Linked DNA regions of Kluyveromyces lactis. The main gene of each other region encodes a partner of the protein of the gene in region 2 in a complex. Links are inferred from orthologs where the notes say so. Each region holds a gene or a part of one and is shown on either strand. Other genes may lie near its edges.

What was found. The genes of interacting proteins can lie anywhere in the genome.
Region 1: the proteins of QCR8 (region 2) and MAS1 are in contact, whole or in part, in a cryo-EM structure (PDB 8ABH), measured with the Yarrowia lipolytica proteins. The link is inferred for Kluyveromyces lactis from reciprocal best matches to the Saccharomyces cerevisiae genes QCR8 and MAS1. Residues at the interface, in XP_504875.1 of Yarrowia lipolytica: Trp10, Trp11, Gly12, His13, Met14, Gly15, Ser16, Pro17, Pro18, Gln19, Lys20, Gly21, Ile22, Ala23, Gly24, Tyr25, Thr26, Ile27, Ser28, Pro29, Phe30, Ala31; in XP_500073.3 of Yarrowia lipolytica: Met176, Val264, Gly265, Ser266, Glu267, Val268, Arg269, Leu270, Arg271, Asp272, Asp273, Thr274, Thr356, Thr357, Asp447, Glu457, Gly458, Tyr460, Tyr462, Asn463, Arg466.
Region 3: the proteins of QCR8 (region 2) and CYTB are in contact, whole or in part, in a crystal structure (PDB 4PD4), measured with the Saccharomyces cerevisiae proteins. The link is inferred for Kluyveromyces lactis from reciprocal best matches to the Saccharomyces cerevisiae genes QCR8 and COB. Residues at the interface, in NP_012369.1 of Saccharomyces cerevisiae: Thr8, Tyr9, Met10, Gly11, Trp12, Trp13, Met16, Gly17, Gly18, Pro19, Gln21, Gln55, Tyr58, Val59, Ile61, Pro62, Ala63, Ile65, Tyr66, Trp69, Trp70, Gly73, Asn74, Tyr76, Asn77, Leu80, Tyr81, Asn93; in NP_009315.1 of Saccharomyces cerevisiae: Ser15, Asp19, Ser20, Pro21, Pro109, His202, Ile203, His204, Gly205, Asn215, Leu216, Arg218, Ile219, Pro220, Val320, Lys323, Phe324, Phe327, Ile328, Phe331, Asn332, Leu335, Gln338, Cys342, Glu345, Val346, Pro347, Tyr348, Met351, Ile354.

Annotation. Positions count from the first base shown.
Region 1 is NC_006040.1:1,526,248-1,529,639, reverse strand, and holds MAS1 (mitochondrial processing peptidase), read left to right. Parts: upstream 1-1,422; coding exon 1,423-2,832; downstream 2,833-3,392. Other genes in the region: KLLA0_D18117g (CybS family protein), read right to left, coding at 1-389; histone acetyltransferase NGG1, read right to left, coding at 2,974-3,392. UniProt on the Saccharomyces cerevisiae protein: Catalytic subunit of the essential mitochondrial processing protease (MPP), which cleaves the mitochondrial sequence off newly imported precursors proteins. Preferentially, cleaves after an arginine at position P2.
Region 2 is NC_006037.1:609,840-611,884, forward strand, and holds QCR8 (ubiquinol--cytochrome-c reductase subunit 8), read left to right. Parts: upstream 1-1,215; coding exon 1,216-1,500; downstream 1,501-2,045. Other genes in the region: ERG20 (bifunctional (2E,6E)-farnesyl diphosphate synthase/dimethylallyltranstransferase), read left to right, coding at 1-920. UniProt on the Saccharomyces cerevisiae protein: Component of the ubiquinol-cytochrome c oxidoreductase, a multisubunit transmembrane complex that is part of the mitochondrial electron transport chain which drives oxidative phosphorylation.
Region 3 is NC_006077.1:20,107-23,288, reverse strand, and holds CYTB (apocytochrome b), read left to right. Parts: upstream 1-1,461; coding exon 1,462-2,622; downstream 2,623-3,182. UniProt on the Saccharomyces cerevisiae protein: Component of the ubiquinol-cytochrome c oxidoreductase, a multisubunit transmembrane complex that is part of the mitochondrial electron transport chain which drives oxidative phosphorylation.

The sequences.
Region 1 (3,392 bases), on a different chromosome or scaffold from region 2:
CCTAGTCCAAGCAAGTACATGGCGTATGTGTGATTCTTACCGTAAACTCTGCTTGGAATATAATCGATGATACAGGATTGGAAACCAACGTAACAGTGACCTAATAGTACGGAAGCCAATGCAGTGTCCAAAACAGTAGAAATGGAACCAGTGGCAGCTAGTGGTACGGTGACCAATGGAATTAAGGAAATGGCCAAAACTCTTTCAAAATCCCAATGCAATGATCCGTGTAGTTTTTCTGGAGCTGGAGGGACGTAAGCATCGTTAACGTTACCCTTCACACCGCCCGGAGCTTGTGGCAAGGTAGATAAGAATGGAATGGTCAAATTCTTTCTGGCAGTAGTTTGGAAAGCTCTTGCTTGAGTCAACTTCACGGTTCTTGAAAACATCTTTATTTATTCTTCAGTACTGGTTGTAAGTAGAGTGTATTTTTATCGGAAATTCCTCAATACTCAAATTATCCTATTGTTTCGTCAAAAGGATGGAATATAGCAGGAAAGATGTGGTAATTGCTGGACAGTACAGAAGTGTCGACCTTCTATAATCAAGCTAATAAAGTTTCAAATTCAGAGGTTCTGATTGAAAGGGAAAAGTAAAGCCGAAAATTTAATGAAGTGAATGGCGAAACCAAGACAACGTCACTAGGTTATCAAAAAGTTCTTCGAGTATAGAGTATGAAATAGACTATCCCCACAGTAAAAACAATTATTCTCGTAAAACAATGGCGATCAGAGTTTAAAGTGATTTTAATAGGCTCTGTTGAATCTACGTATATGTGGTTAAATATAAATATATATATATATATATATATATATATATATATATTGAGAACAATGAATAGTTCTGTCTATTGTATCATGCTTACGCTTTTTTATTTTCATTTTTTTGCGCGCATCGTTACCAGTTTCCACTGTTTTCTCCGTAGGTTCCTTAATCGGCTCCGGACAAATAGCGGACTCCTTCTTTCTATGATCATCAAGTGCTGCTTGGTAATTTTCTGTTAGTAAGTTTCGGGTCATCTCGGAGGGTAATGAAAAGTGTGACTCGCTTTGCGGAAGAAATCGGAATTTGAGTGACTTCCAGAGCGGGTAACATCTAACTTTCGATCTGAAAAAATATACACCAAGAGCGTGCACAAATATTATCGTTACCCGGGATTTAGCGAATCACGTGCATCTTACTTTTTATCCGGGTAATATGTTATTCGTTGTCTGTTGTGTTTAGTATGTGCTCAGTATTTATTAGTAAAGTCTAAATATGATCTAGGCAATCTTTTCAAGTACATGAGTATATATATATATTTGTTCATATACGTTGCTAAATAGCTTAGTGTTCGGTAAAACAAGTGAGTAGTTGTTGGCCATAACCTGTTGCTATAAATTACATATTCTTTCACTTTACGAATAGTTCCCACTTGTCACAATGTTCAGAGCCCTGGCAAGCGCACGGCGTTCTGTTGCCTCTGTGGGCCTTGGTAGGCTCCGCTACTCGACTGAAATTAATGGTTGTTTATCAAAAACGGCCACATCAGTGCTACCTAATGGATTAACAGTTGCATCCGAATCTTTGCCAAACACAAATACTGCCACTGTAGGTATCTTTGTTGATACCGGATCTCGTGCCGAGAATGAGAAGAATAATGGAACAGCACATTTTTTGGAGCATTTAGCCTTCAAGGGTACACAAAACAGATCACAAACTGGTATTGAACTGGAGATTGAGAATATCGGTTCACATTTAAATGCCTATACTTCGAGGGAAAACACTGTGTACTATGCAAAATCACTCAAACAAGATATACCAAAGGCAGTCGATATTCTTGCAGATATCTTAACTCGTTCAGTATTGGATCCAAAGGCCATTGAAAGGGAGAGAGACGTCATTATTAGGGAGTCTGAAGAAGTTGATAAGATGTACGACGAGGTTGTTTTCGACCATCTCCATACAATCACTTATAAGAATCAGCCTTTAGGAAGAACTATTTTAGGGCCTATCAAAAATATAAAGAGTATTCAACGATCTGATTTACAAGAGTTCATCGAAAAACATTATACGGGTGACAGAATGGTACTTGTCGGTACAGGTGCAGTCGATCATGATAAATTGGTAGAATACGCAGGTAAGTATTTTGGACACGTTAGAAAATCAGAAGCCCCAATTCCTCTAGGTTCTCCACGAGGTCCTTTGCCTGTTTTCCATGGGAATGAACTCAAGATTCAAGAAGATACATTACCAACTACCCACATTGCGTTAGCTATTGAAGGTGTATCCTGGTCGGCACCAGATTACTTTACTGCTCTTTGCACCCAGGCAATCATTGGTAACTGGGACAGGGCCTTGGGCACAGGTACTAATTCTCCTTCACCTCTTGCTGTTGCTGCATCTGAAAATGGTACTTTAACTAATTCCTACATGTCATTCTCAACATCGTACGCCGACTCCGGTTTGTGGGGTATGTACATTGTGGCTGATTCTCAACAACACGATATAAAGTTAATCATTGACGAAATTTTAAAAGAGTGGAAAAGAATTCGGTCCGGACGTATCTCGGACGATGAGGTAAACAGAGCGAAAGCAAGATTAAAAGCCTCTCTACTTCTTTCTCTAGATGGATCGACTGCAATAGCTGAAGATATTGGAAGACAAGTAGTAACGACTGGTAAAAGGTTATCACCAGAGGAGGTTTTCGAACAAGTTAATAAAATCACAAAGCAGGACATTATAATGTGGGCAAATTATAGGCTGCTCAATAAACCTGTCTCTATGGTTGCTCTAGGTAATGTCAAAACGGTTCCATCTTTATCATACATTCAGACTAATATGAATAACTAAGTAACAAGTAAATATCATAAATCATAATTGCATCAAATATAGACAGGTACATTTATTCCACGTATTCTATATAATAAAGGGTCTAATTCCACTAGCTAGCACCAAAAACCAGCTTGACGCCAGTCTGTCAGTTATTTCAATTTATTCTTCTTTATTTTGTAGAGTTTCATTTAATTCTTCTTCCTTCCCGTTGGCATTATTGCTGAACACATCTGCTTCTTCTTCTTCCTCATCTTGGTCTATATCCTTGAATACGCTATCTCTTGGAATACGCTTCATGACTTCCGGTTTGTCAAACAAAGGACCAATCTTGCTTATCCATCTTTGTCTCTTATCCAACAAAGATTTTAGACTCGAGTTAGCGGCTTGTTGGTGAGCTGCCTGAATAGCTGCCTGAGATGTTGATCCGGTTGCTAATGAATCCGGCCCAGGTGTATATTGCCTCTTTTTCTTATTTTTCGGCGCACGAATACGTTTGATATATGCTTGGTCAACTTGCTTATCAAGATTGTCCAATATGGTACAGTACTCTTGCCATGCGAGCATCCTCTCCAATAACG
Region 2 (2,045 bases):
CCCCAGGTGGTAAGTTGAACCGTGGTCTTTCTGTCGTTGACACATACGCGCTTTTGAAAGGTTACAAGTCAGTGAGCGAACTATCTGCAGAAGAGTACAAGAAGGTTGCCATCCTTGGTTGGTGTATTGAACTGTTGCAAGCGTACTTCTTGGTTGCTGATGACATGATGGACCAATCGATCACAAGAAGAGGACAACCATGTTGGTACAAAGTGGAAAACGTCGGCGACATTGCGATCAACGATGCATTCATGTTGGAAGGTGCCATCTACTGTCTGTTGAAGAAACACTTCAGAACAGAGCCATACTACGTCGATCTATTGGAATTGTTCCATGACGTTACTTTTCAAACCGAATTGGGTCAGTTGTTGGATTTGATCACTGCACCAGAGGACAAAGTCGACTTATCCAAGTTCTCTTTGGAAAAGCATTCCTTCATCGTTATCTTCAAGACTGCATACTACTCTTTCTACTTAGCAGTGGCACTGGCCATGTTTGCTGCCGGTATTACCGACTCAAAGGACTTGAAACAGGCCAGCGACGTATTGATCCCATTGGGAGAATATTTCCAAATCCAAGACGATTTCTTGGATTGTTTCGGTAAACCAGAAGATATCGGTAAGATTGGTACCGATATCCAAGACAACAAATGTTCTTGGGTCATCAACGTTGCATTGAAGAATGCTACAAAAGAACAAAGAGATATCTTGGACGAAAACTACGGTAGAAAGGATTCTGAAAAGGAACAAAAATGTAGAGCTGTATTCAACGAATTGAACATCCAAGACATCTACCACAAGTACGAAGAAGAAACCGCTTCCAACTTAAGAGAGAAAATCGCTAACATCGACGAATCCCGTGGGTTCAAGGCCGAAGTTCTAACCTTGTTCTTGAACAAAATATACCACAGAAAGAAGTAGGTAAAGCATATATTATCTAACCATTTTAGATCACGTGCAACTAAATAAATAAAAGTAAGTTTCACTACCAGTATCACTGTATACGAACCAATAATACTACGTTTCGGCCTTTTCGCTTCTAAAAGACGAAGTCTTGAAAATCTTCCAGCGAGGGAAAAAGCTTTATATATAAGAAATAAGCTTTAAACCTCTACTTATTCAGATATTCAAATGATGCAAAGATGGAAAACTATTATACATAGTTTAGTCTCTGACTCAGTATCCGCAAGACCAAGAATTAAAATATTAAGACGAAATGGGTGGTCCACATGCTAAGGCTTACATGGGCTGGTGGGGTAGTATAGGTTCCCCAGCCCAAAAGGGTATTACTACATACACTGTTTCTCCATATGCTCAAAAGCCATTGAACAACATCTTCCACAACGCTGTTTTTAACACATTTAGAAGAGTTAAGAGCCAAATTTTGTACATGGCTCTTCCAGCTGCTTTGTACTGGGCTTGGTGGGTCAACTGCAGAGACTACAACGCTTACTTGTACACTAAGGCCGGTAGAGAAGAATTAGAAAGAGTTAACGTTTAAACAATGTTATTACAACACTAGACTAGTTCCTTTCTTTCTTCTGTCCAGGTTTAAAAGCTTACATGGAAAAAGAGGTGCGGCAGCACCCTTTTGACACTTTTATCAACATTCAAGATATATTTCTCACGTCACAAGAACATTTTTTATCATGTCAGGCCATCGAAAAGAGTTTCAGTATTATTAGATACTATTGAAAAGGAGAGAGCGAGTGGAAGTTCACATCCTCGGTTTTTAATTCTCTCTTTTCGGGTTTGGCTCAGTACCGTATTTATTGGAGGTTTTCATCAAGTGGTTACTCCCCTCAAATATATCTTCTATACTTCACTGTTTATACGAATTTGAAAAACTACTTTATTATGAATACTTACATCTGCGTGTCAAGGGCGTGATCGTCGTGCTCATATGTCGACGATCGGTGTGCTTGCCTGTTTTACATGTATATATATATATAGATGGATAAGTTTCTCCACTAATGAAAGTCACGTGACGTTATTACTTTCCCCCCGTAAAGGGTATTTAATCCAATAAAACGGATTTTAACGAGT
Region 3 (3,182 bases), on a different chromosome or scaffold from region 2:
GCGGGGGGGGCTAAAATTAAATAAAGAATTATATATATATTCTTAATAATATTAATTATTAAAATATATATAAATATATATAATAATTTTTTTAATAATAAATATTGATATTATTATTTATACTCCGCCATAATATATCCCTAAGGGATATATTATGGCGGGAATATCTTACCCCCCTTTTAAGGGGGGGGTTTATAGATATTATATCTATATTAATAGTAACCAAATACCTCGTATAGGGCTTTGATATAAATTTTTATATAATAATATTATTTATATAAAAATAATAATAAATTAGTATTTCGCCATTAGTCATACGACTAATGGCGGGAGTTTATATATTTACATAATCCCGCCATATTGCCAATATTGGCAATATGGCGGGGTATTCTATTATTATATATACCCTTTTATTACATATTATATAATCTCCCAATTCCTTATGGGTTGAAATACGAGGATTATATATATATATATATTTTTGTATATTATATATTAATATATTATATAATAAAATTAATAAATAATGATTACCCCGCGGCTCACAACCTAGGTTGTGAGCCCCGGGGAAGAAATTACAATTCGCCTTTTAGGCATATATTTTCATAATATATATATATATATTTTTATATATTCTATATATATAAAATAATAAATTAGTTCCCTTAAATAGGGATAATTTAGCGAGATAGTTTTAATTAACTTACCCCCCGCGGCACACCCAACCCTACGGTTGGGTGAGGCCGCGGGGGGAATCTATATATAAGTTAATAGTAGTTATATTAGCTCAATTGGTAGAGCGTTCGTTTTGTAATCGAAAGGTTTGGAGTTCGAATCTCTAATATAACAGACCTTATCGTCTAATGGTTACGACATCATCTCTTCATGTTGAAAATATCGGTTCAATTCCGATTAAGGTTATATATTTTATAATCCCTTCTCCCCCGCGACATGACCCTCATAAAGGGTCATGTCGCGGGGGCTGGATATATTACCAAGTATATCCGTGGGATATATTAGAAGTAATATATAATTATAAAATAATAATCAATATACATATATATTATATATGTATCAAATTACTTGATAATAATATATTTATTATATTATTATAATAATTATTATATATATATTATTATATATATAATACAATAATATTATATTTATAAAATATTTATTTATCTCCCGCGAAATTATAAATAATTTCGCGGGGATATTCATATAAATAATATATATAAATTATACATAATTATATTATTATAATTATATATTTATCCCTTTCTCCCGTGGCATCACCCGACCCTCATAAAGGGTCGGGTGATCCGCGGGGGTCATATTTATATAAGGGCCCCGCGGCTCCTCCACGACGTTCGTCGTGGGGAATATATAATATTTATATTATATATTTAATATATATTATATTTATATATATATTTAAAAATATAATAATTCAAATAAAATATGTCATTTAGAAAATCTAATATTTATTTAAATTTATTAAATAGTTATATGATTGATTCACCACAACCTTCATCAATTAATTATTGATGAAATTTAGGATCATTATTAGGATTATGTTTAGTAATTCAAATTTGTACAGGTATTTTTTTAGCTATGCATTATTCATCTAATATTGAATTAGCATTCTCAGCTGTTGAACATATTATGAGAGATGTTCAAGGAGGATGATTTATTAGATATGCTCATGCTAATGGTGCATCATTCTTCTTTATTTGTATGTATATTCATATTGGTAAAGGTTTATATTATGGTTCATATAGAGCTCCTAGAACATTAGTATGAAATGTTGGTGTTATTATTTTTGTATTAACAATGGCTGCTGCTTTCTTAGGATACTGTTGTGTATATGGACAAATGAGTCATTGAGGTGCTACAGTTATTACTAATTTATTCTCAGCTATTCCATTTATTGGTAATGATATTGTATCATGATTATGAGGTGGATTCTCAGTTTCTAATCCTACTATTCAAAGATTCTTCGCTTTCCATTATTTAGTACCATTTATTATTGCTGCATTTGTAATTATGCATTTTATGGCATTACATACACATGGTTCATCAAATCCTTTAGGTGTTACAGGTAATTTAGATAGATTACCAATGCATGGTTACTTTATTTTTAAAGATTTAATTACTGTATTTGTATTCTTATTCTTCTTCTCATTATTTGTATTCTTCTCACCTAATACAATGGGACATCCAGATAACTATATTCCTGGTAATCCATTAGTTACACCTGCATCTATTGTACCAGAATGATATTTATTACCATTCTATGCAATTTTAAGATCAGTACCTGATAAATTATTAGGAGTATTAGCTATGTTTGGTGCTATTTTAATTTTATTAGTATTACCTATTACAGATAGAAGTGTTATTAGAGGTAACGCATTTAAAGTATTCTCTAAATTCTTCTTCTTCTTATTTATTGCTAACTTTGTATTATTAGGCCACTTAGGAGAATGTCATGTAGAGCCTCCTTTTGTTGTAATGGGACAAATTGCTACTGTAATTTATTTTGCATACTTCTTAGTTATTGTACCAGTTGTATCAACAATTGAAAATGTATTATTCTATGTAGGTAGAAAAAATGCAAAGTAATTATTAAAGGTAATAATTTAACTAATCAATATTCTTTTTTATCTATTTTTAATAATAATCAAAAAAGATATTATTCTCAAAATATTAATAATGATTAAATTTAAATCAAAATAAGCCCCACAAATGCGGCATCACCCAACCCTTATAAAGGGTTGGGTGTACCGCGTGGGGAAGAATATTATAAATGTTATAATGAAGTAAAATCAAAACATAATTAACCCCGCGGCTCATCCTCTGGTAATCCCAGAGGATGAGACCGCGGGGGATTTATTATTTGAATATTTAGATTTAGAAGCCCCGCAAATGCGGCATCATCCAACCCTCATAAAGGGTTGGATGAGCCGCGTGGGGAAGAGTAATAGTTTAAAATTAAAAAAAGTATTATTTAATTATGAAAATAATATAAACCCCGCGGCTCGTCCCCGGGGTATCCCGGGGACGAGTCCGCGGGGAAAATATTTTAATTTTAAAAATGTTAAATAGTAATTAATAATAAAATTATTTCAATATTCTTTTTTTTATTTAATATATATATTATATTAAATAAAATTTATAAATTA